Neurospora crassa OR74A: one gene and its partners. The protein of the gene in region 1 interacts with the protein of each later gene in a biochemical or structural test. Links are inferred from orthologs where the notes say so. Each region holds a gene or a part of one and is shown in the gene's direction. Other genes may lie near its edges.

Region 1 (4,202 bases):
ACTTTTTTCATATATCGGAGACTTTATGCTGACGTGCTGCTTTTGTGACGGGCATAGGATGGGATGAGGCTGTATTGAAAATGAAGGTTGGCGAGAAAGCCACTTTGGATATTTCTAGGTGAGTTATTCGTGAGTGAACGATGTGTCAGGGGAAGAAATTGATACTGACGAGACAATATGTTTTAGTGATTACGGATACGGAGAGCGGTGAGTAACCTGCAGGCCTTTTTTTTTTCTTTCTTCTGAAAATCCAAAAAAATCAGTCTATATGGTGTAACACCACCCGCAGACACGATACTTCTGGCCGTGCTGATTTGGAGTTAATGCCCATGTGCTGACCCGACTTATTGCACACCAGGGGTTTTCACGGCCACATTCCTCCGAACGCAGATTTGATCTTGTGAGTTGTCTCCTGTATGCCACATATCTTGCTCCAGCTTGTCTCTACAGTCAAGGTAGCGGCGGGCAAGATAGCGTCAGCAAGGATACGAGCTAATATGTGATAGTGACGTATATCTCAAGGGTCTCCAGTAGCTGGGCGGTTCACTGATCTCGGGAAAAGGAGACGAGGTCCTTAGTTCAACGCCTCCAACGAGCCAAAGTAGGGACCGCTGGGCAAGAAACCACTGGAACTTGAAGTTCTTTTGGGAAGATAGATTTTATGTCGGTGATGGCGATGACGAAAACACAGATGGTTGGTGTTTACGTTGCGAGGAACCTTGATGGGTAAAGACGAGGAATTAATTGAATGACGGGAGGTTGAAGCGATACAGGGAAGGTTGAAGTACCCGCGCAGCTATGTTAATATGGAGAAGTACCTACAAGCGCCTCATTGAATGTGATTGGCTCACTACGATAAGAGAGCACAAGTTGCCTGCCGGATGGGCTGAGTGGCTGGTCCTTGCTTACTGTACCAAGTACGTTTTACCGCCATCGGTACATCGGGCAAGTACCTCTAGTGCATGACCGCCTCGTACCGTCTACTGCCAGGGGTGTTAGTAATGATTCGATCCTTCTATTGCTGTCCTCACGGTTCCTTCCAGGTTCATGCGCGCGTGAACCACAATACATATTGGCTTCCCTTCAGCATCAATGAGACTCTGAGTCAAGGTTTATCCGATCAGATAGGAGACAGGGCACAGCCAGTGTGAAACGAGGTTGGGTCGAGGTAGAGGTACCTAGAGGTACATAGCTAGCATAGCCACTTCCAGACGTACAACCTAGTAATAGGTGCGAGGCCGCATACGGTGAAGGCTACAGCACACTGCACTAACAGCAGTACAGCGACCTGCACGCTGCAGCGGTAGGTGCTTGGCCAACGACGGACAGTGCATCACATCACCATTCCCCGCAGTTCTCCTTGATGCTTGACAGCTGGTGGCGGGGCTGACCGAACCTCCCTCGACATCCCCGCCGCCCGACCTTCCAGATTACAGACAGCTTCCACTTCCACTTGCACTTGCACTTGCACTTGCACCTTGACATAGTACGACATAGTAGCACTTGCGCTTGATCCGTCGTCTGTTTTCCCGAGTCATTCAACTACAACATCGGCGTTTTCTTTGGACCAACATCGCCAACTTGAAGTATCACAATACCCGACCACTGCGAATCAACAACTTTAGGTTCAGTTCTCGTTCTTGTTTTTGCTCTGTTTGCGTCACGAACTTTCCACCATCTATAATCTACCGGCCCGCCCGTAATCAACAGTCGCCAAGCTGGGGAAGCGCAAAGTATCCGAAGGGGACCTACCCATCTCTCTAAAGAGAACCATGACAGTGAGTTGAAACCCCGTTTGTCTACATGAATCCTACTTGGGATGGCAGATGCTTGTTCCTGGTAGCTAGCGCCAGTCAGTCTGACACTTTCGTGATGCCCATCTCCCAGGACACTCAGAAAAACGAGGTCGACCTTGTCACCAGGATGCAAGTCGACGAATCAGTAGCCGGCACCACGGCCGAGATTGATGAGTCCCTCTACAGTCGCCAGCTCTATGTCTTGGGCCACGAGGCCATGAAGCGCATGAGCGCTTCCAACGTCCTCATCGTCGGCCTCAAGGGCCTCGGCGTCGAGATCGCCAAGAACGTGGCCCTTGCTGGCGTCAAGAGCCTCACCCTCCACGACCCCGAGCCCGCCGCCTGGGCCGACCTCTCCGCCCAGTTCTTCCTCCGCCCTGAGGATGTCGGCAAGCCTCGCGACCAGGTCACCGCTCCCCGCGTTGCTGAGCTCAATGCTTATACCCCCGTTCACATCCACCAGTCGCCAAGGTAGGTTATGAACCGGACGGGAGTGAGCTTGACAGGTTCGGTAGCTAACCGTGGCCTCTGTACAGTCTCGCCGATAACCTGTCGCAGTTTGACAAGTACCAAGTCGTCGTCCTTACGAACCAGCACACCGATCTCCAGACTATTGTCGGCGAATACTGCCACTCCAAGGGCATCTACTTTATTGCTGTCAACACACACGGTCTCTTTGGCGGCATCTTCTGTGATTTCGGCGATAACTTTACTGTCATGGACACGAACGGCGAAAACCCCGTTAACGGTATCGTGGCTGGCATCGACGAGGAGGGTCTCGTTTCTGCGCTTGACGAGACCAGGCATGGACTTGAGGATGGCGACTATGTGACCTTCTCGGAGGTTGAGGGTATGGAGGGACTCAACGGCTGCGAGCCCCGCAAGGTCACCGTCAAGGGCCCCTACACCTTCTCTATCGGCGACGTGTCGGGGCTTGGCCAGTACAAGAAGGGCGGTCTCTACCAGCAGGTCAAAATGCCCAAGACCATCGAGTTCAAGAGCATTACCAACGCGCTCAAGGATCCCGAGTTTGTCATCTCCGACTTCGCCAAGTTCGATCGCCCTCAGCAGCTTCATATTGGATTCCAGGCTCTCCACGCTTTCGCCAAGTCTCAGGGACGTCTACCAAGGCCGATGAACGACGAGGATGCGCTTGTGGTTATCGCCTCGGCTAAGGAGTTTGCCAAGCAGCAGGGTGTTGACGTCGAGTTCGACGACAAGCTTCTCAAGGAGCTCAGCTACCAGGCTACTGGTGACCTTAACCCCATGGCCGCTTTCTTCGGTGGCCTTACTGCCCAGGAAGTCCTCAAGGCTGTTTCGGGCAAGTTCCACCCCATTAAGCAGTTCATGTACTTCGATGCGCTCGAGGCTCTTCCCACCAACTCCAAGCGCACCGAGGAACTCTGTGCGCCCACTGGTAGCAGGTATGACGGCCAGATTGCGGTCTTTGGTAAGGAGTTTCAGGAGAAGATCTCGAACGTCAAGCAGTTCCTTGTTGGCGCTGGCGCCATTGGCTGTGAGATGCTCAAGAACTGGGCCATGATTGGTCTCGGAACAGGCCCTGAGGGTAAGATTACCGTTACCGATATGGACTCGATCGAGAAGTCCAACTTGAACAGACAGTTCTTGTTCCGTCCCAAGGACGTTGGTCAGATGAAGAGTGACTGCGCGGCCAAGGCCGCGCAAGCTATGAACCCTGACCTCGAAGGCCACATTGTTTCTCTCAAGGATCGCGTTAGTCCCGAGACCGAGGAGATCTTCAATGAGGAGTTCTGGCAGGGTTTGGATGGCGTCACTAACGCGCTGGACAACGTTGAGGCGAGAACGTATGTCGACAGACGGTGCGTTTTCTTCCACAAGCCTCTCCTTGAGAGTGGTACCCTCGGCACCAAGGGCAACACGCAAGTGGTGCTTCCTAGGCTCACTGAGTCCTACTCTTCCTCCCAGGATCCTCCTGAGCAGTCGTTCCCCATGTGCACTCTCAGGAGTTTCCCCAACAAGATCGAGCACACCATTGCTTGGGCTCGTGAGCTGTTCGAGAGCTCATTTGTCAAGCCTGCGGAGACCGTCAACCTCTACTTGACCCAGCCAAACTATCTCGACACTACCCTGAAGCAGAGTGGCAACGAGAAGGCGACGCTGGAGATGTTGGCGGACTTCCTAAAGCACGAGCGCCCGCTCACCTTTGAGGATTGTGTCCAATGGGCTCGCATGCTCTTCGAGAAGCAGTACAACAACGCTATTCAGCAGCTCCTTTACAACTTCCCCAAGGATTCCGTGTCCTCGACCGGTACCCCCTTCTGGTCCGGACCCAAGCGCGCCCCTGACCCGCTCAAGTTCGACCCTGAAAACCCCACCCACTTTAGCTTCCTCGAGGCTGCTACCAACCTCCATGCCTTCAACTAT
Region 2 (3,454 bases), about 480 kb from region 1:
AGGGAGATGAGGATGTGGATGTGGATGAGGAGATGGAGGATGGGGAAGGCGAGGAAGATGTTGAAGAGGGCGAAGAGGATCATGAAGACGATGAAGATGTTGAAGCTGAAGAGGAGGACGAGGAGGAGGCCGAAGAAGCTGAGGAAGATGTAAGGCCAGGCGAGCATAAAGATGATGTAGAGGAAGGCACAGAGGGAGAAGAAGAAGGAGAAGAGGGGGGTGAGGAGGAGGAGGAAGAAGAGGGTGTTGAAGACGCAGAGGATGAAGAAGGTGATGAAGAGGAGGAGGAGGCAGATGAGGAAGAAGGTGATGAGGAAGAAGGCGAAGGCGAAGAGGAGGAGATTGGGGACGAGGATACGGATGATGAGAGTGAGCATGACAGTTCGACAAGGGGAAATTAGGGGCCTCTACCTCGGTTAGGGTCTCTACCTTGGTTAGGGTCTCTACCCTGGCTAGGGCCGTTCGACTCAAGCTCAGGGTCATCGAGCCCCGGCGAGTTCGACGAGTTTGTCGACTTTTGGCGCCGGTGACGGAATCCCAGAATATGACACACCAAAGGTTGGTGATGGCGACGCTGGATCTGGAGTAGAAATCTTTTCGGGAGTTTATCATTAGGAAGAGCGGGTCTTGCCCAAACAAATTATTGGTCTTCACTTTTTGTCATTGCTCAGGTGTGGCTCGGCTTTCTACTTCTCATAGACGTACGATATACTTGCAATCTCATGGTCGAGGTACTGTGGTCTTCCTCGCCGTGATTGCTACTGTGAAGTATACCTAGTATACTGCAAACCCTAACCCCCTGTATCCGGCCCAGAGTTTGTGCCTGCCGGAATCCGGTGAGGGCCTTGATGGCCCAAGTCCACGTCTCGGTCAGTACTATATGTACATGGAGATGACACCTTTGAAATCCTCTAATCAAGATTTTGAGCATACTCGCTATACCATGGACCTGAGCTCTAAGCAGTTCCTGAAGCGGAGAATCTCCAGGGAGCTCCGGTCGATGTGCTTTCGAATTATAGTGACCCCTATCACAGATTGGTAACGGCCTTTCCAAGCCAAAGGCATTCACATTCAACATGCTGGCGTTGCATCACCCGCGGCATGGACGGCCCCGCTCTGGATGCCACCACAAATAGCCCCACAGTAAACCGCCCTACCGGTCTTGGCAGCACTTGCCGTGGGGCGTGGAGTGCTGCAGCCTTGACGACGGAGCTCTCGCTCTTTCTCCTTCGTGGACATCAGTCAGCATCCTCTTTCAACTACTAGCGTGTCAACAAGCAACAAGAACATTCAGTCATATCCGCAACTACTATAAGAGACTGTTCGTTGCGTCGTCACTTTTACATCCCTGCTTTGCCCTTTTTTCCCCCCCAAGCAAAGAATACCTCACCAGCCCAGTCCGCTTACCCCGCCATCAACACGAGCACGCAAACAAGCTTATGCACGCCTTGTTTGTTGACCAACGTCACCGCCGTCGGTCATTGTACTAGGTCACTTTGAGTCTCACAACTGCCAAAATACATTTGAGGTGGTCAGCATCTGAAGTTGAACATCTCTACCTCTTATCCCTCCTCACTCGATACATCCATCAGTCATCGTTGGGTACATTCCGTCCAAGTACTACTTGGTTTAGTCGAGTGTGTTACCTACCAGCAACCATGGCCTCCACGAAGCGCATCGCGAAGGTAAATATCACATCGTTTGCCCTGCCTTTTGAACCTGACGACATCCCTAAAGAGGAAGAAGAAGGCGAAGGAAAATATGAAATAGAAGACCCACGAAACTAACCCTATTTTTCTTCCCCCTCCGTCCAGGAATTCGCAGACTGCACCACCGCCCCACCCCCTGGCATTTCCATCACCCTCCCCTCTGACGCCGACCTACACACCTGGCACGTCACCGTCACGGCGCCGCCCAACTCCGTCTACGCCCCCGGTCGCTTCGGCCTCATCCTCAAGCTTCCCACCGATTACCCCTTCAAGCCTCCGACCATCAACTTCACGACGCGCATCTACCACCCCAACATCACCAACGACTCGCTGGGGAACATCTGCCTGGGCCTGCTGAAATCCGAGAACTGGAAGCCCGCGAGCAAGATCATCAGCGTGTTGGAGGCTGTGCGCAACATTCTCGTCGAACCGATGCCCGACGACGCGCTCGAGCAGCGCATTGCGGATGAGTATCGGAGGGATCGGCCCGAGTTTGAGAAGAATGCGAGGGCGTATGTGGAGAGGTATGCAAAGGGGTCGGTGAATTTCGTGCAGGCTCCTCCTCCTCCGGAGAAGAAGGATGGTGCGCCTGCGGGTGCTACTACTACTGGTGCTGTGAATCCTGGTCGCGCTGCTGGTAGGCAAGGAGGTGCTAGCTCGGGTTCGGCGTCCCGCCCTGCTCCACCTGCGTAGGGGCAGGGGCGTGGGTGGTAGGTGGCTGCTCGAAGATATACGCCTTTTTGTCACTTGATGGAGCTGTTCAAAATGCATAAGCGATGACACAGAGTCTCTGTGATGCGAGCGACGTGATGCGTAACGGGGATGGGAGGTTAGTGGCAAGGATTCTTTAAACTGCATATGTGCGACACGATTAGAAGGAATCGAAAGAGACCGGGTATGTGGCAAGCTCGTTACCAAAATAACTGGACTTGATGGATGAGGCTAGCATTAGGCTGGAGATGGTTATCGAAGGGAAAAGTGTTTAACCAGAACTGGATGTGGCGATCACTGGACGCCTGGGTTGGTCTGAAAACTGCTAGACATCAATGCAAGACAAGGCCAATAGTGATAGACATCATTGATCATGGGAACGAAGAGTGGAGGAAACACATCGCACTGGCTCAACTGAATGATGGAGCAGGCATTATTATGAGGCTCATAGCAATGTCTAATGCGAAAAGTCCGGGAAATTAGATTTGAGCCATTCATCCCCCCCCTCCAAAAAAGAGTCACAATGATTACCCACTTTTGCTCCATTCAAGTCATGCTTAATTGTAGTGTACGTAGTTCAACTTATGCAATATGCTTATGCCTATGCCTATGCTATGCTATGCTTTCGAATCTCGAACTTGTCCCCTTCATAGCAACTCCGCTCTCTTTTTCTCTTTCCCTTTCCTTCCGCCTGAAACCTTGACCATATGTGCGACCTTGACTGAATGAATAATCCTTGCCTTTGCCTTTACCTTGGCTCCTTCTAAAAGAACAAAACCATTCCGCGTATTTTTTTGAGATCGATCCCCTCTTCCTCTCGTGTACATACAAACGCAGAAAAAAAAAACAATCAAATGAACAACAACAACAACAACAACAAGACACAAAGCGCCGCAACAACCGCTTCCCGACCGCCCCAAGGAAGATATGTACAAAGGAAAAAGACAGGGAGATGCGCCCTCTGCAAGAGGATGTGGTTGGTAATGATAGAGATTGGGGGGTGCTATAAGGCGCATAGGCTTCAGCCTGTGCAT
Region 3 (2,965 bases), on another chromosome or scaffold:
ACGGCGGGCACGAGGATAGCCTCGTCAAAGGTGTGTGGCTGCTCGCCCGCCTGCGCGACGGTTGCCTGGTCGGCCTCCATGACTATCATCTCGAGGTTGGCATCGTTGTAGATGTGCGACGGCACGGTGATTTCGGGGATCACATGTTCGCTCGCGGCAAGCGACAGTGGCGTGGCTTGCTCCTCGGGAGGGCCGATGTGTACGATGAGCGGCTTGGAGGGGTCGTGGGCCTTGAGTTGCGCTTCCCAGTTTTGGGCGGATTTCAGCGGATCGGCGAGTGCCAGGCGGAGCAGCTCCCTGGCAGTGTGTTGGGGCTTGTCGCCGGTGGTGAGGCCGAGGAATGCGACTCGTATCGATTCATGGCCGGGATCTTGGCTAAGGTTGCGTAGGGCGAGCTGGAGGCGCGGAAGATTGACGTGGTTGGGTGCGAGGGTTTGTAAGTCGCGGAGAGCGCTCTCAAGGTCTTTGCGGGGATCAATTGGTTCTGGTTCGGCCGGGGCGGCATCGGCGGCGTCGGAGGGCGTGCTTATGAAGGGCCGGAGCGGGGTGGCGCCGGTCGATTGGTATCGTGGTCGAACAGCCGGCGCTTCTTGTGGTTTTGCCCTCGTTGCCCGGAGCTTGTTGAGTGGTGACGATGTGGGAAAAGTGGAAGGCCGAGTCGCAAAGGAACAGAAGAGACATACGGACGACGGTACTGTCCGCTGGCCAAACCCGAGACCGCGGCCGCGGCTCTGTAAAGCCCGTCGTAGGCCCAGCGTTGGCGGCATGGCTGGCTGACGAGGTGAGAGGTTGGCAAGCTAGAGCGGCGTGGCTCCCAGTCGACGACGAGCCATCGAGTTTCCGAAACCGAAACAAGAATAGATGGAATGGCAGATGCGATAACAGCCAATTGCGATAACAAGGAAGCCGGTTGCGGTTGACCGAGAGCTTTTTTTTACCTCCCTAGAGGTAGTCTAGCTCTCAGGTTGCCGGCCGGCAGCTCAGGAAGGGAAACAGCACACCCGGCCGCTAGAACCCCCCGGCTGGTGTACCTGTCGTAGGCGCTTCTGGAAGGGTCCCGGGCCCTAGCATGTATGGCCCCTGTGGTGCAGCAGCAGCAGCTTCCCCAATTCCCGTCCCGAGACGTCCCATGGAAATCAATCCCCGCCGAGCGGACCGACGTCAGACGTGTCAAGCAACTGCGCCGCTGACAACCCCCGCTGCAGCCCAGTGTGTCCTCCGCGCTTCTCCTGCATGCATCGATTCAGTTCGACACTTCGTTTCTTAAACCAAAACAAACAATCGATAAGAAGTAGATCACGACATATCTACCTTCGTCTTAACCATATGCCCAACCCACAGTAACTGCTTGCGACACCACGCGATTCCCATCCCGATCACCAAAGCGTATATCCATAACACAGTACCGCCCCCGAGGCACTCTCCTCAGAGAGCCCCACGTCTCGATCATCAACAACAACAACACCACACGAGGACCCCAACAATAACAACAACACCCACCATCAACCAACAGCTACAATGTCTCTCAACGTAGCCCAACGTCGTCTCCTCCAAGAATACCGCGCTCTAACCAACAACCCACCCGAAGGCATCACCGCGGGCCCCATTTCCGAAGACGACCTGCTGCACTGGGAATGCCTGATCCAAGGGCCCGAAGGCACCCCCTTTGAGGGCGGCGTGTTCCCCGCAGAACTCAAGTTTCCGAACGATTACCCGCATATGCCGCCGACCATGAAGTTTCTGGGGGATATATTCCATCCTAATGGTGTGTTCTTCTTCTCCTTCCTCTTCTTCCTTTTTTATTTCTCTTATCCTTCACTTGGTTCTTCTCACCATCTGTGGTGGTCAGGCATGCAAAGTGCTAACGGAAATCAACCCTCCAACAGTCTACCCCTCAGGTCTGGTCTGCATCTCGATCCTCCACCCACCCGGCGACGACCCGAACCACTACGAGACTGCCTCGGAGAGATGGTCACCTATTCAGTCCGTCGAGAAAATCTTGTTATCTGTTATGAGCATGTTGGCGGAGCCTAACGACGAGAGTCCGGCGAACGTGGAGGCGGCCAAGATGTGGAGGGAGAAGAGGAGCGAGTACGAGGCGAGGGTGAAGGCTAGTGTGAGGGCTAGCTTGGGGCTTTAAGGGCATGGAGAGTTGGGAAGAAAGAGGATGAAGAGAGTAATGGAAGGGCGGGTTCGTTGTGTGAAGTGGTTGAAGAAGGTTTCGTGGATAGAGAGCGAGAACGGGGGTGGTGGTGGTGGTGGTGGTGGTGGTGGTGGTAAAGGGTGGTAAAAGAATCTCGGAGTGACTAAGCACTTTGAACAAGAGGAAGGGTGGTGGTTTGAGGTATACTTTTTTATTAGCATGGCATGGCACTGGTGTTTTCCTTTGAGGATAATAATGACGAACTTCCTATTCCCATGTTGATGATGTTTTCTATATGACCTCCGTTCGCCTTGTCCGCTCGAACAGAGACATGTCTACAGCAGACAAGTAGCTTGAGGTTTATTAGCACTCCTTTCCCGTTCCTTCTAATATAGGTATCATATCTCAATAAGCAGTTTAGAACATTAACCCTTCCGCCCCCCTACGTTTCTCATCAACCCATTACTATTCCACCCGCCCCTTACACTCACATATTATTCTCCTTCTTAAACTTATCCCAAGCCTCATTAAGCGTGGCAAATACCGTTCCAGCAATCATCCTAACCTCGGTTGACGCATCCGTCGAAATCTGGTTATCATCTTCGTCAGCAACCATCCCGGATATTTCTGATTCACTTCAAATTTCCAAGAAGACAGAAAAAGGGGAAGAGAAAAAAAAAAGAAAGACAAAGCTTACCTTATCAGGATGACACTTTGCGATAGCCTTCATGTAAACAATCTTGACCTTGTTCGCCACCACCAATTCATGCAATCCCACCTTCTTCCACCCGCTCCCCTCCCACAGCACATTATCCAAACTCG
Region 4 (3,107 bases), on another chromosome or scaffold:
TGCTTCCTTTTCCCCAGACTTTCCCGCCATTCACAGTTGAATCTTGACGTCGGATCGCCGGCCACCTTTATGGACGCAAGGCCGATGGTGGGTGACGGTATGTTAACGGGGTTGATCGACATGTTTCTTCATTGGCACTACACACACACACACACACACACACACACACACACACCATTGTCAAGATTGTTGGGATATCCCGAATTTGGATCCGAGTCAACTCTTATATGTCTGTTGAGCGGCACGGAACGCGTTCGAGATTATACGATCCAATACAAGGATGTCACCTACCTCTTGGTAGCTGATGATGCGCCGTTCTTTATCAGATGTTGCTGTTGACCATTGTGTCTGTTGTTGGTGACCGGATTTGGCTTGGAGACAAAGCAAACATGTAACACTACCCCCGAAGTGTACCTTGCGGTTGGTAAACTCGCCTTCCCATAATGAGAAGGTTGACTGGAGTTGACTCCTCCTCCCGCTGTCCCGTCATTCCCCGTCCTCAACATCTGAAGCACAACAGCCGGTCCCGAGTGACCGCCAATGAATCATTATCACATCCCTTCAGCGCATGACCATCCCCACTCCTGGCTGCTTATCATTCGCTCGCGGCCGGCAAATGCACCCCTGGCTGCTACCACCTGAGGAGGTCAGCGCTGTACGGTAAGCCTGACGTCGTGGACGATCGTCGCTACTGCGGGCGGGAACGTGACGGGAGTGCGACTTGTCTCATTCATCCCACTTTGTTCCCAACTTCGACTTTCCGACCTGAATAATCAATCAAACTATCGACACTTTGACAGATCAGCTTCAGTGCCTACCTATTCGAGTCTATTCGCGATAACCTACCCGCCATATTTGGTTGTCAGCAACGCCCAAGCTTCGCTTCCAACCCACTTCGGCCGCAGCTGGGAGACCAGACGAGAGCGACATTGCATCTCGCCACCACCCGCCGACCACGCATCCAACTGCCTACTCCCGCATTCTGCAGTCTTGACACTTGTCATCCGTTCACAACATCGAATTATACGATAACGCGACTGCTTGCGACTTCGCTTCAGATTGCCTGCGACAACTCGAAGCTAGTTACCACTTCATTCTTATCAAAAAAGGCCGAACCGAGCGCGAGTTTCTGATAGACAACATGAGTTCCCCACGCCGCCGTATCGAGACAGATGTGAGTTGCGATAGTGTTCACCTTCAGTTACGAGTCAGGGACACACGTGCTAATATGTACATTGATAACAGGTCATGAAGATGTACGAATCCCGTCCTTACAAAGCTCCAACAACCCTTTCCCAAGAGCGCACTGTTAACACGACTGATACGACAGGCTCATGAGCGACTATGAGGTTACTTTGGTGAACGATAATAGTATGGATACACCCTTTCCAACTCCCTGTAGGAAACATTCAACTTCCGGTTTCGGAGCGCTAACATGGAGAATGCAGTGTAAGATGCGACAACTAAATAATCCGAGCTGGGTTGCTGGGCTTACCTAACAATACAACAGGCAGGAATTCTATGTGAGGTTCAAAGGGCCTGCCGAAAGTTTGTCTACCCAATATCTTCCATTCCCTGTCTCACCTGTGCTCAAGTCGCCATATGTATCTCGAGGATCTTACAGTCACTAACACCAAGCCCTCCCTACAGCACCCTTTGAAGGCGGCATCTGGAAAGTCCGCGTCGAGCTACCCGATCAGTATCCATACAAGTCCCCTAGCATTGGCTTCGTGAACCGAATCTTCCATCCCAACATTGATGAGCTGTAAGTGGGGACTGATACCAAACTGATTGCACCATCCGAGGAAACAATCACGACAATACGTTGGGTGGGCTCTGGTTCGCCGGGGAGAAACAAGCAACAAATAATGGGCCACTCGCCGCAAAAGAGCAATTGGGGCTAACCAAATACGCCGCATACCAGATCCGGATCGGTTTGTCTAGACGTCATCAACCAAACATGGTCGCCAATGTTCGATATGATCAACATCTTTGAAGTATTCCTGCCTCAGCTTCTACGTTACCCGAACCCTACCGATCCTCTCAACGGTGAGGCTGCTGCGATGTTGCTCAGAGAACCCAAGACCTACGAGAACAAGGTGAAGGGTATGTCAACACATGAAAACTGCTTTGGAGTACAGAAAGGGGGGAAGCTGAAATTATTTTTGCAGAATATGTCCAGAAGTACGCGAGTAAGGACGCCGCAGACGAGGCGGACGCAGAAAGTGAAGACGACGGCGAACTATCATCCGTGGCTAGTTTTGACGAGGAAGACGACGAAGAGGCCGCCGGTAAGATGGACGACGTCTAGGTTGGTAGTCCCCCCACGAATTTGAGGGCTCTTCGAATCCTGAAGGCTCTTCAAATTTTGAAGGCATTTTAGGCCGTCTTTTCGTCACTTCGCATTTGTCAGCGGCAGGAGTTGTTTTCTCCGGGGTGTTCAAGGGCCTCTGTTTCGAACCGGCGTTGAATAAGGTATCTATGGGTTGGGACGTTTTTGGTTTGCTTAGGTCACTCGCTTTGTTTTCTCCCCTCTGCTTCTAGGACTGTTTATACACATTATCATCTCAGTGCAAATCGTTATACCATTCCGTTAGAATGCTTTGGCTTTTAGTGCGTTGCCTTTATGTGGAAAAACAACCAGCTCTTGTCAGTCTAGTGATGCTTTCCTGCTTTTCCTGCTTGAGGAGGCTCAAGGAGACTCAAGTCTAAACCATCACTGAGGCACAGTTGAATCGCAACAAAGTTTAAATATCAATCCCCAGCTAGGTGTGAAAAGTCGTCACAACAAGATCTATTACAGGGTGATCTGAGGCCCGCGCTCAATTTTTTTTTTTTTTTTTTCCAAAGTTTTTTTTTTTTCCAAAGTTTTTTTTTTTTTTTTTTTTTTTTTTTTTTTTTTTTTTTTTTTTTTTTTTTTTTCACAGTCATTTTGGCATCAGCTGGGGACAAAACCTTTATTTATGTTATTTTAAATCCTGATCCGTCGTTGCGGTCCGGTTTGACAATTGTCTATTCGAATTCAAATCCTTCCATTAACCCACCTCCCATTTACTGCCTTCCTTTCCTCCCCTTCCCTACCCATCGAGATCCCTCCTAACTTACAT
Region 5 (3,127 bases), on another chromosome or scaffold:
GGAGCGATGTAAGGCGGGCTCCCGCACATGGTCGAACTTTGTTTTCGTGCACCCTTGTATTCGAACATGGTGGCCATACCAAAGTCTGCGATTTTCAGGATGCCGCTCTCGGAAAGGAGGATGTTCTCGGGTTTGAGGTCGCGATGGGCAACGCCCTTTGAATGCATAAAACTGACGCCGCTGATCAGTTGCTGAAAGTAGAGGTGAGCAATATCCTCCTCCAGGCCAACATCTGCCTCAATCTTGTCGAAAAGGTCACCTCCTTCAGCATACTCCATGGCAATCCATCTCCAGATCCTGTCTTCGCCAGTAGCGAACCACTCAATCACGTTTGGATGCTGGCCAATATGTGAGTGTAGCGATACCTCCATGGCAATCTGCTTCGCCGATATCCTGCCATGTCTTACGGCATACTCCTTGTGGATGAGCTTGACGGCAAATACCGGTGACGGTGCGTCGAGGGGTATCGCCTTTTTTATTCTGAGACATTTGGTCAGTGAAAGCGCAGCAGCACGATGGGTTAGGGATCAAAGCACTCACGAGGCGTATGCTCCCCGTCCGATGGTCTTGGAGATGATGCGGAAAGGAAGATCTGAAGGAAGAGGGTCCAGCTGAGACTGTTGCATTTTGCCGTCAACAACGGACGCAATTACGATTACGAAGATTGGAGTACAAGTGAGATAGACGAAAATATGCGGGATTTCAAGAGAGTTCAAGGGTTTAAAGGAATGCGCTCCGTCGGTTCGTGCGCAGTCAGCAATCAAGTGTGTGTTTCCATCAAAAATGGTGGTTGGGTTAGTTTGTATAAGTGTTAGGCTGATGCCTGGCGCAAGCAAGTGGCGAGAGCCGCCGCCTAGAAGTATCAAACCAAAACAAAGTTCCTAAAAAGGAAAAGCGCAAATCGAGATGGAAAGGTGGAGGCAAAAAGCACTCACCATTTTGATGGACAACAGACCGGTTAATGCCAAGAGCGTGTCAGAGGAAGAGAGTCGCGTATTCAGACGTTCACCATACATATGTGAACACTGAGCTAACCTCACCTGTTCTGGCGGGTGTTGTACAAACACTATGGACACTTCACGTGCAAATGCAGGTCGCGTGTTGGTAAGGTGATGACTCCTCGTCCAGTGTCCCGGTTTGTTTGGTTGAGAAAGGGGATCCGGGAAGCGCCTTGAGGGATTGGAGCGCGAACTGCCCACTATTTCCACGCGCCGCGACTGCCCGCCTTGCGGCCTGGGAACCTGCAAAGAAGTTCATGCATGCCCTTAAATCCTTCCCCTGACAGCAACGCTCGGGCCCGTCACGGTTGCTGGGGACCTTCCCGCGGTAACCTAGTCAGCTGTGGGGTTATTGGAGGCTGGTTCGTTTCTGCAGTCGTGTAAACATTGATATTTAATATTTGCATCTCGTCAGTTCCGTCCCTCCAAGCTTGGCGTCAACTGCCAAACTACATTTGTTCTTTGCGCCTCCCATCCCCCATCTCAACCTTCATACATCTCCTAAGGTTGGCGCCGCCCCTCCTTGGTTGCAGGTACGTCGCCCTTCACCTCGCGGTTCATAAGTCTTTATTAACCTGTTGAGTTAGTACTTTTATCAACCTTCACCTCGATTATCCAACAGATATTGGTCTTCTTTGTTTTGCGATATTAGCCTCTTCGCCTGCTTTTCAGTTCGCCGACACAAACCGATTATCCTACACCAAGCATGGGAGATATCCAGAACTCTGCGCCCACTTTTGGCGCTAGGAAGAATATCGACCCCAGTCAAAATGCCGTCAAGAGGTCAGTCCACTTTTCACTGAGCTGGTGCATGTTTGATAGACAATGAATATGTTGATGTATCGGCCACTGACTGTTAATGACTGCAAACAGATTGCAGACGGAGCTTATGCAGCTAATGACATCGCCGGCGCCGGGCGTGTCTGCCTTCCCCTCTGCCGACGGCAATCTCCTTTCGTGGCGGGCTACCATCGAGGGACCTGAGGATACCCCTTATGCCGGCCTCACCTTCAAGCTTAGTTTTGAATTTCCTGCGAATTATCCTTACGCGCCGCCTACGGTGCTGTTCAGAACCCCGATCTACCATCCCAACGTGGACTTTTCTGGACGCATCTGTCTCGACATCCTCAAGGATAAGTGGACTGCTGCTTACAACACTCAGACCGTCCTTCTGAGCTTGCAATCCCTGCTTGGAGAGCCGAACAAGTAAGGACTTCACATGCTCTCTCATTCAATTTCTACGAGATCAGAGCTAACACCCATCACAGTGCTTCCCCGCTCAACGGCGAGGCGGCTGAGCTTTGGGACAAGGACCCGACCTTGTTCAAGACCAAGGTCATGGACCGTCACAGGGACATTGACGACGACTGAAGGCAAAATGCAGGAGCAGTTTAGGAGAGCATTGGGTTGGGAGAAATTGGTTTATTCTCGAGGTTGGAATCCCTGGCGTATTGGTCTCTGGAACAGGATTGCATTATCAGGGCGGGTTTGTTTAATGGGTATCCCGTTGTTGCTCGCGTCTGCTACCGGTTGCAGACTGGCTTTATGAAGTACATCAAGCATTGGTTGTAATGGACAGTATATCGTCCATAGAGCGTATCATTTTTCATGACGAAGCCCCTGCCTGACCATCTGCGACGCCCTCACACTGCGATTGTCTTCCCTCATCGTTGCTGGAGGCGGTTTGGTGGTATCGAAGGTGCCGTGTTCCATTTTACGAACCCTTTATTCGTAATGCGAAGCTAGATGCCATGCGAAAACTCCGGAAGCCCAATGCCGCCCTGAACCTGAACCGCGGTCCCTTCGTGCCAAAAATTCGTCTTGCCAGAACACCCAAATTTACTCCTCAACGACAACGGTGTGGAGACCCTTGGGGTTCTTCACGTTGACGGCCTGGACGTAGCTGTAGAGCTTCTCCTTGGCGCCCTCCTCGTCGTTACGGCGGCGCGAGATACGGACACGGAGACGGTAGGCAACGCCCTTGACACCCTGCTCCCAGACCTTCTTGTTGAGCTGGGGGTCGATGCGGACATCGGTGGTACCCTATAAATCACAGAGTCATGTCAGTCTTTGGTGTTCGTTCAAACTGACCACGCTGTGTCCCCAGCTCCAATGTCGTCCCCATAGCT
Region 6 (3,664 bases), on another chromosome or scaffold:
GAGAAACACAAAAGTCAAGACTGTTGAATGAAGGAAAGGAACAAGAACAGGCCACCCTGAGAACATGAAGGGGAGAACGAGTATTTATTCTCTGACTGGACAAAAGAAATGTGGCCATGCAACACCATCTGCGGAGGCATAATTTCTGGACAATTTCCAAGTTTGAGGATGCGTGACAGAAGCCAAGCCCTTAAGCATCATGCACCCAACTGTGAGATACCTGCAGCCGAATACTCACGAGCACAATGAAATGAACCTTTCATGTACATTGTTAGTCTAATTACCTAGGTAGGCACTTAGTTTTGTTGATAATGTCACATTTATTGATACCATTCTCGTGGAGTGCATTGCGACGGAGGTCCGACTTGCACCTGAGAATATGCAACATGATGGATGAGCCGGATTTCATGCATAATCACCTCATATAAAACCGCTGCATTTACCCACCTCTTCCACTTGATTTAATGCCCGGATCATCATATACTCACTGCCAGTTTGTACTCTTGTGGTTGGATGACTCCGTGTCCGGCCGTCCGGGGCCGAGAGGTGCACCATTGCTTGCATATTTGGTACGCCCAAGACCTGAACCCCAAACTCGAAGCTGGCCCGAAGAACAGTTTCAACAACCATCGTGCGAATATCTGGAGCATTCCCTTTGGTTTTAGCAGAGCCTTCAGTTTTGAGAGACATGTATAACCGGTTCCCTCTTCCTTCCATATCAGCCTAGCCAAGTACTACTGTACTTGTCGGCCCCCAACCACATTTCATCCATGGTCAATACCTCTTCCACCCAAGTTTTCGATTTGGAAGAGAGTGACTCCCCGCTTCAGTACTAGTTTGGACAGGTCTTGAGCGAATCATCGCAATGTTCCAGTGTGGTCGTCGTCGTCGTCGTCGGTCGTCGTGGGCTCGTCGTTGGTCGTCGGTTGTCGGCTTTCCAGCTGCACCGGCCGGCAAGTGTTGCCGGCGGGAGTCTTCAGTCTCGGAATGAGCTCGGCCATTGCGGTGGCGGTGCACTGACGATGACGAGGTAAACCAGTGGCGCTGTCCTTTTTGGGCTCAATGATTGGTCAACTTTGGGGGGCGTCAAACCACCCCTGCCGGCATCCGATCTGAATTGCCAGCCGCCCATGCTGCCCAGGCCAACAGACATCGGCAGGCGGTCATGCAGCAAGAGCCTTGAGTGGTCGGCCACGGACAGCGCCATCGGCGGGCAGTGGGCAGAGCGCGCCGTAGGTAAGTACCTAGCCAGAGAGACCTGAGACTGCCCCTGCCGTGGGACTGGTCGGGTGGGTGGGACAACCTCACCAACCTCACTGGGCCGGGGGGACTGGCTTCCTCAGGCTCCCGTCCCGCCCGCTGGCACCTGAACGGGAACCCACCTTTGTTCGCCTGATCCTGATCCATTTCCCCCCCCTCCGCCATTCCATCCTACTCTCCTGCAACCGACTTCGACATCAACTACCAGAGTTTGCATCCCGTCACCATCTTCTCGCCTGTTGACGAAACCCACCCCAATACCGTGGTGTGACTCAGCGATATAGTGCTTTTTGCTTTCCATCTTGTAAGTCGAACAGACCGCCGTGCTCTCGTCCGCTGCCCATTCGTGATCGACTTTTTTTTCTCCCGTTTGCACGACCGACGTGCCCAGCGAGTATTATCGCAGCAGCAGCCAGCCAGCCCACCAGCCTTGATTCACTCACTGCCCACTGCCCATTCATTCCGCTTCTTTGCTCTTCCACCGCCCGCAAACGCTGACCCTGACCCTTTAAAACTTGCAGCCACACTTCGTGTCGTCAACGCAACAGCGATTACGACAACCACAACCACCTACCTTTACACAACTAATATCACACAATGGCGTTGAAGCGCATTAACAAGGAGCTCGCTGATCTCGGCCGGTACGTAAACACGAATCCCGCTAGTCCTTTGCCGTCTCGCGCGATGCCGCAAAAGCGTCATTCCGGCGCAAGGTTCAGTGGTGGGGCCGCGCTGGCGGGGTTTGCGCCGCTGCCGTCGCCGTCGCTGACCCTCGCGCCGTCTCGAACCGCTTCCGCAGACGCCAGAGATGCATTCCGTATCTGCTGTCGTCGAATATGATGCTGACGTGTTGTTGTCTGTAGCGATCCGCCCTCCTCTTGCTCTGCTGGCCCTCAGGGTGAAGATCTTGTATGGATAAGCCACCCCGCTTTTTCGATAAGCACGGCTCGACCCCCGGCATCGCGTCATGACCTTTGCCGTGGATCGAACCGCGTGGCATCTTGCTCGCGAACAGGCATACTGACATGCTCGATTGAATAGTTCCACTGGCAAGCGACCATTATGGGCCCTGCCGACTCCCCCTACACCGGCGGCGTTTTCTTCCTCAACATTCAGTTCCCTACCGACTATCCTTTTAAGCCTCCCAAAGTCAGCTTTACCACCAGAATCTACCACCCCAACATCAACTCGAACGGCAGCATCTGCCTCGACATTCTGAGGGATCAGTGGAGTCCGGCGTTGACGATCTCCAAGGGTATGTTTCTCTGTGTCCATGCTCTTCTAGCTAGCGCCCATATGGTCCTTCGGCTGCTGACAAGTGTGCAGTTCTGCTCTCCATCTGCTCGATGTTGACGGATCCCAACCCTGACGACCCGCTTGTGCCCGAGATTGCGCACGTGTACAAGACAGACCGCGCCAGGTACGAGGCGACGGCTCGCGAGTGGACCCGGAAGTATGCTATCTAGAGTAGATAATGGGATGGATTTATGGCCGACAAGCAGCGCTGGATCGTTTCTTCAACGTTTTGGCTCCTCTTTTGGAGGGGCACCCACATATTCACCATGGGAGCACGAGTGTATTGTGGTTCCGGTTCGCGTCCTATATTCCTCTAGGCCCAGAGGGAATTCCCAGCTCTCTTCAGTGCGAAAGTTGCAAATGCCATTCGAGCGGCTCGAAACAGTGGAGGATGGGGGTGTGGCACAGCAAGCGGTGTCTTTCGATGTCACGACAAGGGGCGGGGCGGAATCAGCAGGCGCAAGATGTAACCATTGCGTACCGGCACTCAAGTTTCTTTGCTCGCATCACATTATTTACAAAGGTCTGCAATACCAAGGGGTTCCAGTACAATAGCATTCTGTCTTTCCCTCTATCGTTCCTGATGTTTGGCCTGTGCTCTATCCGTGAATGACGTTCCGCTCTCCATGTGCGAGTATGGTATCGGGCAGTTTGCAACTAATGAGCCCGCTACTGACCTTGATAGGTATTCGAAGTACCTCTCAACTTTGGTCGGACGAAGTGCGCGAGACTTGTCATCTCCTTGACATGTGGTTCAAGGCCCAACAGGCTGGCCAGAGAACTAGTAGGTGACTGAGTAGCTGTCATATCTTTCATGTGGATCACGAGACAACTACTCTCATCATAGGCCATGATAGTGAATCTGTAGGTTAGGTTCTCAGGCTGGCTTTGGAAGGGCAGTCAGAGAGAATGTGAGCATATCAACAAGAAGTCGATGGTACCGGACGGCAACGACTTGCCGGCGTTGGGACCTTGTGTGCCCGGCTCATCGGGCTGACCCTCCCCGCGGTTACGCTAGTTGTGGTCATGCTGAAGAGTGACCCAGGGCATGCATGCTTCCAAGTCCTCAAACTGAACTGAGGCGATAACGGGCTGGTTTGAGAGTTCG
Region 7 (3,790 bases), on another chromosome or scaffold:
GACCAGGCAGGGGGCATCAGTCCGATTCCAGTCGATACCGTAGATTTTGGACGTGTGAGCACAAATGGTCTTGAGGGGTTCGACAGTCTTTCGGTCGTCCCAGATATGAAGCAATCGATCGTGAGCCGAAGCAATGACATGAGGGTCTTGACGACTGTATTTGACCTGCGTTGCACCGGCAAACCAGTCACAGAATGACAGAGCAGGCTGTCTCGGTCTTCTCAGATCCCAGTGATGAACATAACCGTCAACTGAGCAACTGGCTAGAAGATCTGGGTGGTGAGCGGAAAAGTTAATGTCGGTGATGGCCCGACTATGGGCTTGCAACGAGTGCTCGATGGCTCCAGAGGGCGAGTCGTCCCTCATGTTGAGGTTCCATACCAGACAGCGATGGTTTGCTGTCGAAGCCACCCAGTAGTCACGAGCTGCAAAGGGAGACCATTGAACATCGACCACCAGCCACGGGAGGCCATGGCTGCTCAGTCTTCGTGGTGGATTCCATGGCGAGTCCAGGTCTATGATGGCGAGGCCCTCGGGGGAAGCAAGAGCAACATCACGGCCCGAGGGTGAGATGGTGGCGGAGCCCACCAAGCCATCAACATGGATGGTCAGGTCGGCATCGAAGCTCTCACTGTCGAAGGCTGACTTGATTGTTTTCGCCTTCTTTGGCGGAGAGTCAAATACGGAGGGCATATTGCGGGATCAGGATTGGACGAGACGGTGCAGCATGGTGCGTATCCTCCCTCATCCCATTCTCAGTGCTGGAGTTTGACTGAAGTGGTAAACCAAGGATGAGTTGGGTTGAGTTGAGTTGACGGGACTTGACGAGACTTTATGTTGAACTAGACCAGGTCCCCCAAGGACGAATAACCTGGCATTCGTAGGGCGTCTCGGGAATGGTGAAGTCGAATGCAAACCGAAATGATCACAGGAGGTCGTCGTCGTCGATCAATGCAAAACATATCGAGAGGCGTCGATATCAGCGGAAGAAAGTGTGAAGGCCGGCAGGTTGGAAGACAACTGGACGTGGAATGGAGAAACCGTTCGACCAAGATGGAGAATCTCTCAGCTCTCTCTCTCACACACACTCTCTCTCTTCTCTTCAATTGGAAGGTCAACCTGACAACGGCGTCAACCTCGACAAGGCGCCGATGAACAGTTGGAGACACGAACGGCACCTCACTCAGCGGTGCAGTGGCAGTGACTTTGGCCAGTACACTACACTAGGTAGGAGGTACCTTCTCGATCATGTGGTCTGTGCGCTTATCGCGAGATCCCGATTAGGTAGAGGAATGGATGATGGAAGCCGATTCCATCCCATCACATGGATCCGCATGCCTCTAGCCCAGGTACCTAGGTAGGCCACCTCTGGCTGTCGCTGTCAGGGCCGTGACCGCTGTCACAGGGCATTCAGTGGTTTGGTCAGAGAGGCACGCCGCGGGTTCATTCGTCAGCGCATCCCACACACCCGACCTTCTTCCACTTTGCCTTCCAGTTCCATTCCGCGTTCCATCATCGAGAACTTCCCGTCCCGCCTTGCTCGTGAATAATTGCCCGTGTCGCAAGAGATTACCGTAGGTTCTGCCGATTTCGACTTGTCTCCAACAAGTTCACAAGGAACAGAATCGACTGCCTTGCGACGATTTTGGTCTAGCCATACCTACCTACCTACGTACCTCTACTACCGCTTTTACCACACATTCCCTAGGTTATTTACAGGCCCTTTCGCACCGTGATAGCGCAGTACACTGTTCGTTACTGTTTGCCTCGATTTGTCAACCGGAGCCTCCGAAACGCCTCTTTAAACTGCCCTCTGACATCCAGCATAACAATCGGCGATAGCCCCTCCACTTGCCCTCCTGTCTCTCCCAGCCTCAGCGACAAACATTTTCCTCACCACCATTTCTGCCACTGGCTTGTCGAGCTTCCTTTCGCACTAAACACCAACAGCAATTAATCTAATCACCATGGCGCTTCCGAAGCGGATTGTCAAAGAGACCGAAAGGCTGATGGCGGAGCCGTACGTACATACCATCCTCATCCCGAGAAGCAAACAGTCTAGACCAAAGTCCTAACTTCTCCTTCCTGATCGCAGTGTCCCGGGTATTAGTGCTGTTCCCCACGAAGACAACCTTCGCTATTTCGACGTCGAGATCCACGGCCCTTCGCAATCGCCATATGAGGGTTGGTCTTCCTTGAACCCCACGGCTGCCGTTACATTCATCTCTTACCTTCCGTGCGCCATGAGAACATACCACATGATCGCTAACAGGAGAACCAAACACCCACACAGGTGGTGTCTTCAAGCTCGAACTCTTCCTTCCCGATGACTATCCCATGACCCCTCCCAAGATCCGCTTCCTTACCAAGATCTACCACCCCAACGTCGACAAGCTGGGTCGCATCTGCCTCGACGTCCTCAAGAGTGAGTAGTCCCGAGAAAGAAAAGCCGCGATAGTTGGATACGCCAGTTCCGAAAAGCTAACACACGATACCAAACCCGACAGACAACTGGTCCCCCGCCCTCCAAATCCGCACCATCCTCCTCTCCATCCAAGCCCTCCTAGGCGCCCCCAACCCCGACGACCCGCTCGCCCCCGACGTGGCCAAGACCTGGAAGGAGAACCCCAGCGTTGCCGTCGCCACCGCCCGGGAATGGACACAGCAGTACGCCTTGCCATCCCAGTAGGGTCGGAGGCTGGCACCAGGAATCAACGAAATCCCGGGACAGGGCCTCATGGCTCACGCGCCGACATATGACCCTTATGGAGGAAACTTTGACCCATATCGGTTTGGGCCTTAGGACGGCAATTGACAGGAGCAGCTGGTTGTTCTGGTCTTGAAGCAGAGATGAATCACCAAGGCCAGCAAGTGGCTGTGGCAAAATAACAGAGAGGATCATAAAGGGAAAGCAGTGGAAGAAGTTGGTCTAGGTGTTTGTGTGAAGCACGGCGCTGGTGGTGTATCATGCACCCACCTAGGGTGCATACGGAACGCACAAAGAGAAAGCCCGTGAGAGGGGAATGAGGAAGGGAAGGCTACACGAGATAAGGAGAGACAACGAATACTGGATCGATGGACGAGGAAGGGGCACGTATGATGGGTTGAGTGAAGGATGCCATGGTGGATGCAACAGCGCCACGCGGCGCCAAGGCAGACACCAGAAGGAGGAGTTTTCGAACATAGAGAACATCCTTTCGAAGCGTTGTGTTTTCAGGTGTTGTTTTTTTCGCAGCGATAGAGTACCGGGTAGGGCTGTTCAAATACTACTTACATATCTTGCAACATGACCACTGTTCGGATTTGCGTCTGTGAGTGGGGTGGATGAGCCTTTGGATCAGATGTAGCGGTAAGCTTCAATAAACTCACGATAACACATATAAAATGAAGGGCGGTGTGGTTTATACTGAAAGACACCGGCCATCTTCACAACCAGTAAGTACGAACACGATTGATTGCTTAGCTTCTGTACAAGCGAAAACACTGATACCTGCAGTCATCTTGAATAGACACCTATAACCTGTTAATATAATCTCGAGGATTCCAGCCGGGATGCAAAGTCCAAAACTTTACTATAGAATACATAGAGTGGTTAGGTAGCCATCGGAATGGAATGGATGGTTCCAAGGGAGTTATCAGAGGGAGGGAGGTTCACAGAGGAATTTGCGACAGGAGGAATTCCATTCATGAACTAGAACCCCCAAGTTCCTTCCCTTTTTTTTTGGGATGGGTGGGAGGGATGAAAGGAGGGCCGCGGAAGAGGACTGAACAGATGGACCGACTTGGGACG

Evidence for each region.
Region 2: of the proteins of NCU04370 (region 1) and NCU04513, one has a biochemical effect on the other in vitro, tested with the Schizosaccharomyces pombe proteins (2 studies listed by BioGRID). The link is inferred for Neurospora crassa OR74A from reciprocal best matches to the Schizosaccharomyces pombe genes uba1 and ubc14.
Region 3: of the proteins of NCU04370 (region 1) and NCU03623, one has a biochemical effect on the other in vitro, tested with the Schizosaccharomyces pombe proteins (2 studies listed by BioGRID, with this or other methods). The link is inferred for Neurospora crassa OR74A from reciprocal best matches to the Schizosaccharomyces pombe genes uba1 and ubc7.
Region 4: of the proteins of NCU04370 (region 1) and NCU10046, one has a biochemical effect on the other in vitro, tested with the Schizosaccharomyces pombe proteins (2 studies listed by BioGRID). The link is inferred for Neurospora crassa OR74A from reciprocal best matches to the Schizosaccharomyces pombe genes uba1 and ubc8.
Region 5: of the proteins of NCU04370 (region 1) and NCU08345, one has a biochemical effect on the other in vitro, tested with the Schizosaccharomyces pombe proteins (3 studies listed by BioGRID). The link is inferred for Neurospora crassa OR74A from reciprocal best matches to the Schizosaccharomyces pombe genes uba1 and ubc11.
Region 6: of the proteins of NCU04370 (region 1) and NCU02289, one has a biochemical effect on the other in vitro, tested with the Schizosaccharomyces pombe proteins (3 studies listed by BioGRID, with this or other methods). The link is inferred for Neurospora crassa OR74A from reciprocal best matches to the Schizosaccharomyces pombe genes uba1 and ubc4.
Region 7: of the proteins of NCU04370 (region 1) and NCU02113, one has a biochemical effect on the other in vitro, tested with the Schizosaccharomyces pombe proteins (2 studies listed by BioGRID). The link is inferred for Neurospora crassa OR74A from reciprocal best matches to the Schizosaccharomyces pombe genes uba1 and ubc13.

The regions. Positions count from the first base shown.
Region 1 is NC_026504.1:3,604,205-3,608,406, forward strand, and holds the start of NCU04370 (ubiquitin-activating enzyme E1 1), read left to right. Parts: upstream 1-1,402; 5' UTR 1,403-1,772; coding exon 1,773-1,778; intron 1,779-1,887; coding exon 1,888-2,267; intron 2,268-2,332; coding exon 2,333-4,202. Other genes in the region: peptidyl-prolyl cis-trans isomerase fkr-3, read left to right, coding at 58-118, 187-207, 359-400, 507-534.
Region 2 is NC_026504.1:3,125,485-3,128,938, reverse strand, and holds NCU04513 (ubiquitin conjugating enzyme Ubc14), read left to right. Parts: upstream 1-1,216; 5' UTR 1,217-1,658; coding exon 1,659-1,685; intron 1,686-1,814; coding exon 1,815-2,402; 3' UTR 2,403-2,954; downstream 2,955-3,454. Other genes in the region: NCU04512 (hypothetical protein), read left to right, coding at 1-401. UniProt on the Schizosaccharomyces pombe protein: Catalyzes the covalent attachment of ubiquitin to other proteins. Mediates the selective degradation of short-lived and abnormal proteins.
Region 3 is NC_026505.1:1,883,387-1,886,351, reverse strand, and holds NCU03623 (ubiquitin-conjugating enzyme E), read left to right. Parts: upstream 1-1,132; 5' UTR 1,133-1,518; coding exon 1,519-1,765; intron 1,766-1,886; coding exon 1,887-2,140; 3' UTR 2,141-2,465; downstream 2,466-2,965. Other genes in the region: NCU03624 (hypothetical protein), read right to left, coding at 1-767; NCU03622 (UBA/TS-N domain-containing protein), read right to left, coding at 2,631-2,732, 2,841-2,965. UniProt on the Schizosaccharomyces pombe protein: Catalyzes the covalent attachment of ubiquitin to other proteins. Functions in degradation of misfolded or regulated proteins localized in the endoplasmic reticulum (ER) lumen or membrane via the ubiquitin-proteasome system.
Region 4 is NC_026506.1:3,266,913-3,270,019, forward strand, and holds NCU10046 (ubiquitin conjugating enzyme Ubc8), read left to right. Parts: upstream 1-1,348; 5' UTR 1,349-1,435; coding exon 1,436-1,449; intron 1,450-1,510; coding exon 1,511-1,548; intron 1,549-1,650; coding exon 1,651-1,765; intron 1,766-1,924; coding exon 1,925-2,106; intron 2,107-2,171; coding exon 2,172-2,311; 3' UTR 2,312-2,607; downstream 2,608-3,107. Other genes in the region: NCU10045 (pectinesterase), read right to left, coding at 3,102-3,107.
Region 5 is NC_026501.1:5,678,599-5,681,725, forward strand, and holds NCU08345 (ubiquitin-conjugating enzyme E), read left to right. Parts: upstream 1-1,273; 5' UTR 1,274-1,531; intron 1,532-1,585; 5' UTR 1,586-1,704; coding exon 1,705-1,781; intron 1,782-1,788; exon of another isoform or gene 1,789-1,871; coding exon 1,872-2,204; exon of another isoform or gene 2,205-2,266; coding exon 2,267-2,369; 3' UTR 2,370-2,627; downstream 2,628-3,127. Other genes in the region: un-1 (serine/threonine protein kinase), read right to left, coding at 1-480, 541-617, 936-1,016; NCU08344 (60S ribosomal protein L31), read right to left, coding at 2,838-3,041. UniProt on the Schizosaccharomyces pombe protein: Catalyzes the covalent attachment of ubiquitin to other proteins.
Region 6 is NC_026507.1:3,039,406-3,043,069, forward strand, and holds NCU02289 (ubiquitin-conjugating enzyme E2), read left to right. Parts: upstream 1-1,177; 5' UTR 1,178-1,564; intron 1,565-1,781; 5' UTR 1,782-1,857; coding exon 1,858-1,901; intron 1,902-2,123; coding exon 2,124-2,169; intron 2,170-2,301; coding exon 2,302-2,515; intron 2,516-2,586; coding exon 2,587-2,726; 3' UTR 2,727-3,164; downstream 3,165-3,664. UniProt on the Schizosaccharomyces pombe protein: E2 ubiquitin-conjugating enzyme that catalyzes the covalent attachment of ubiquitin to other proteins. Mediates the selective degradation of short-lived and abnormal proteins. Mediates ubiquitination of pex5.
Region 7 is NC_026501.1:1,237,598-1,241,387, reverse strand, and holds NCU02113 (ubiquitin-conjugating enzyme E2 13), read left to right. Parts: upstream 1-1,416; 5' UTR 1,417-1,967; coding exon 1,968-2,020; intron 2,021-2,095; coding exon 2,096-2,184; intron 2,185-2,293; coding exon 2,294-2,425; intron 2,426-2,507; coding exon 2,508-2,689; 3' UTR 2,690-3,290; downstream 3,291-3,790. Other genes in the region: NCU02112 (hypothetical protein), read right to left, coding at 1-693. UniProt on the Schizosaccharomyces pombe protein: Has a role in the DNA error-free postreplication repair (PRR) pathway. The ubc13/spm2 heterodimer catalyzes the synthesis of non-canonical poly-ubiquitin chains that are linked through 'Lys-63'.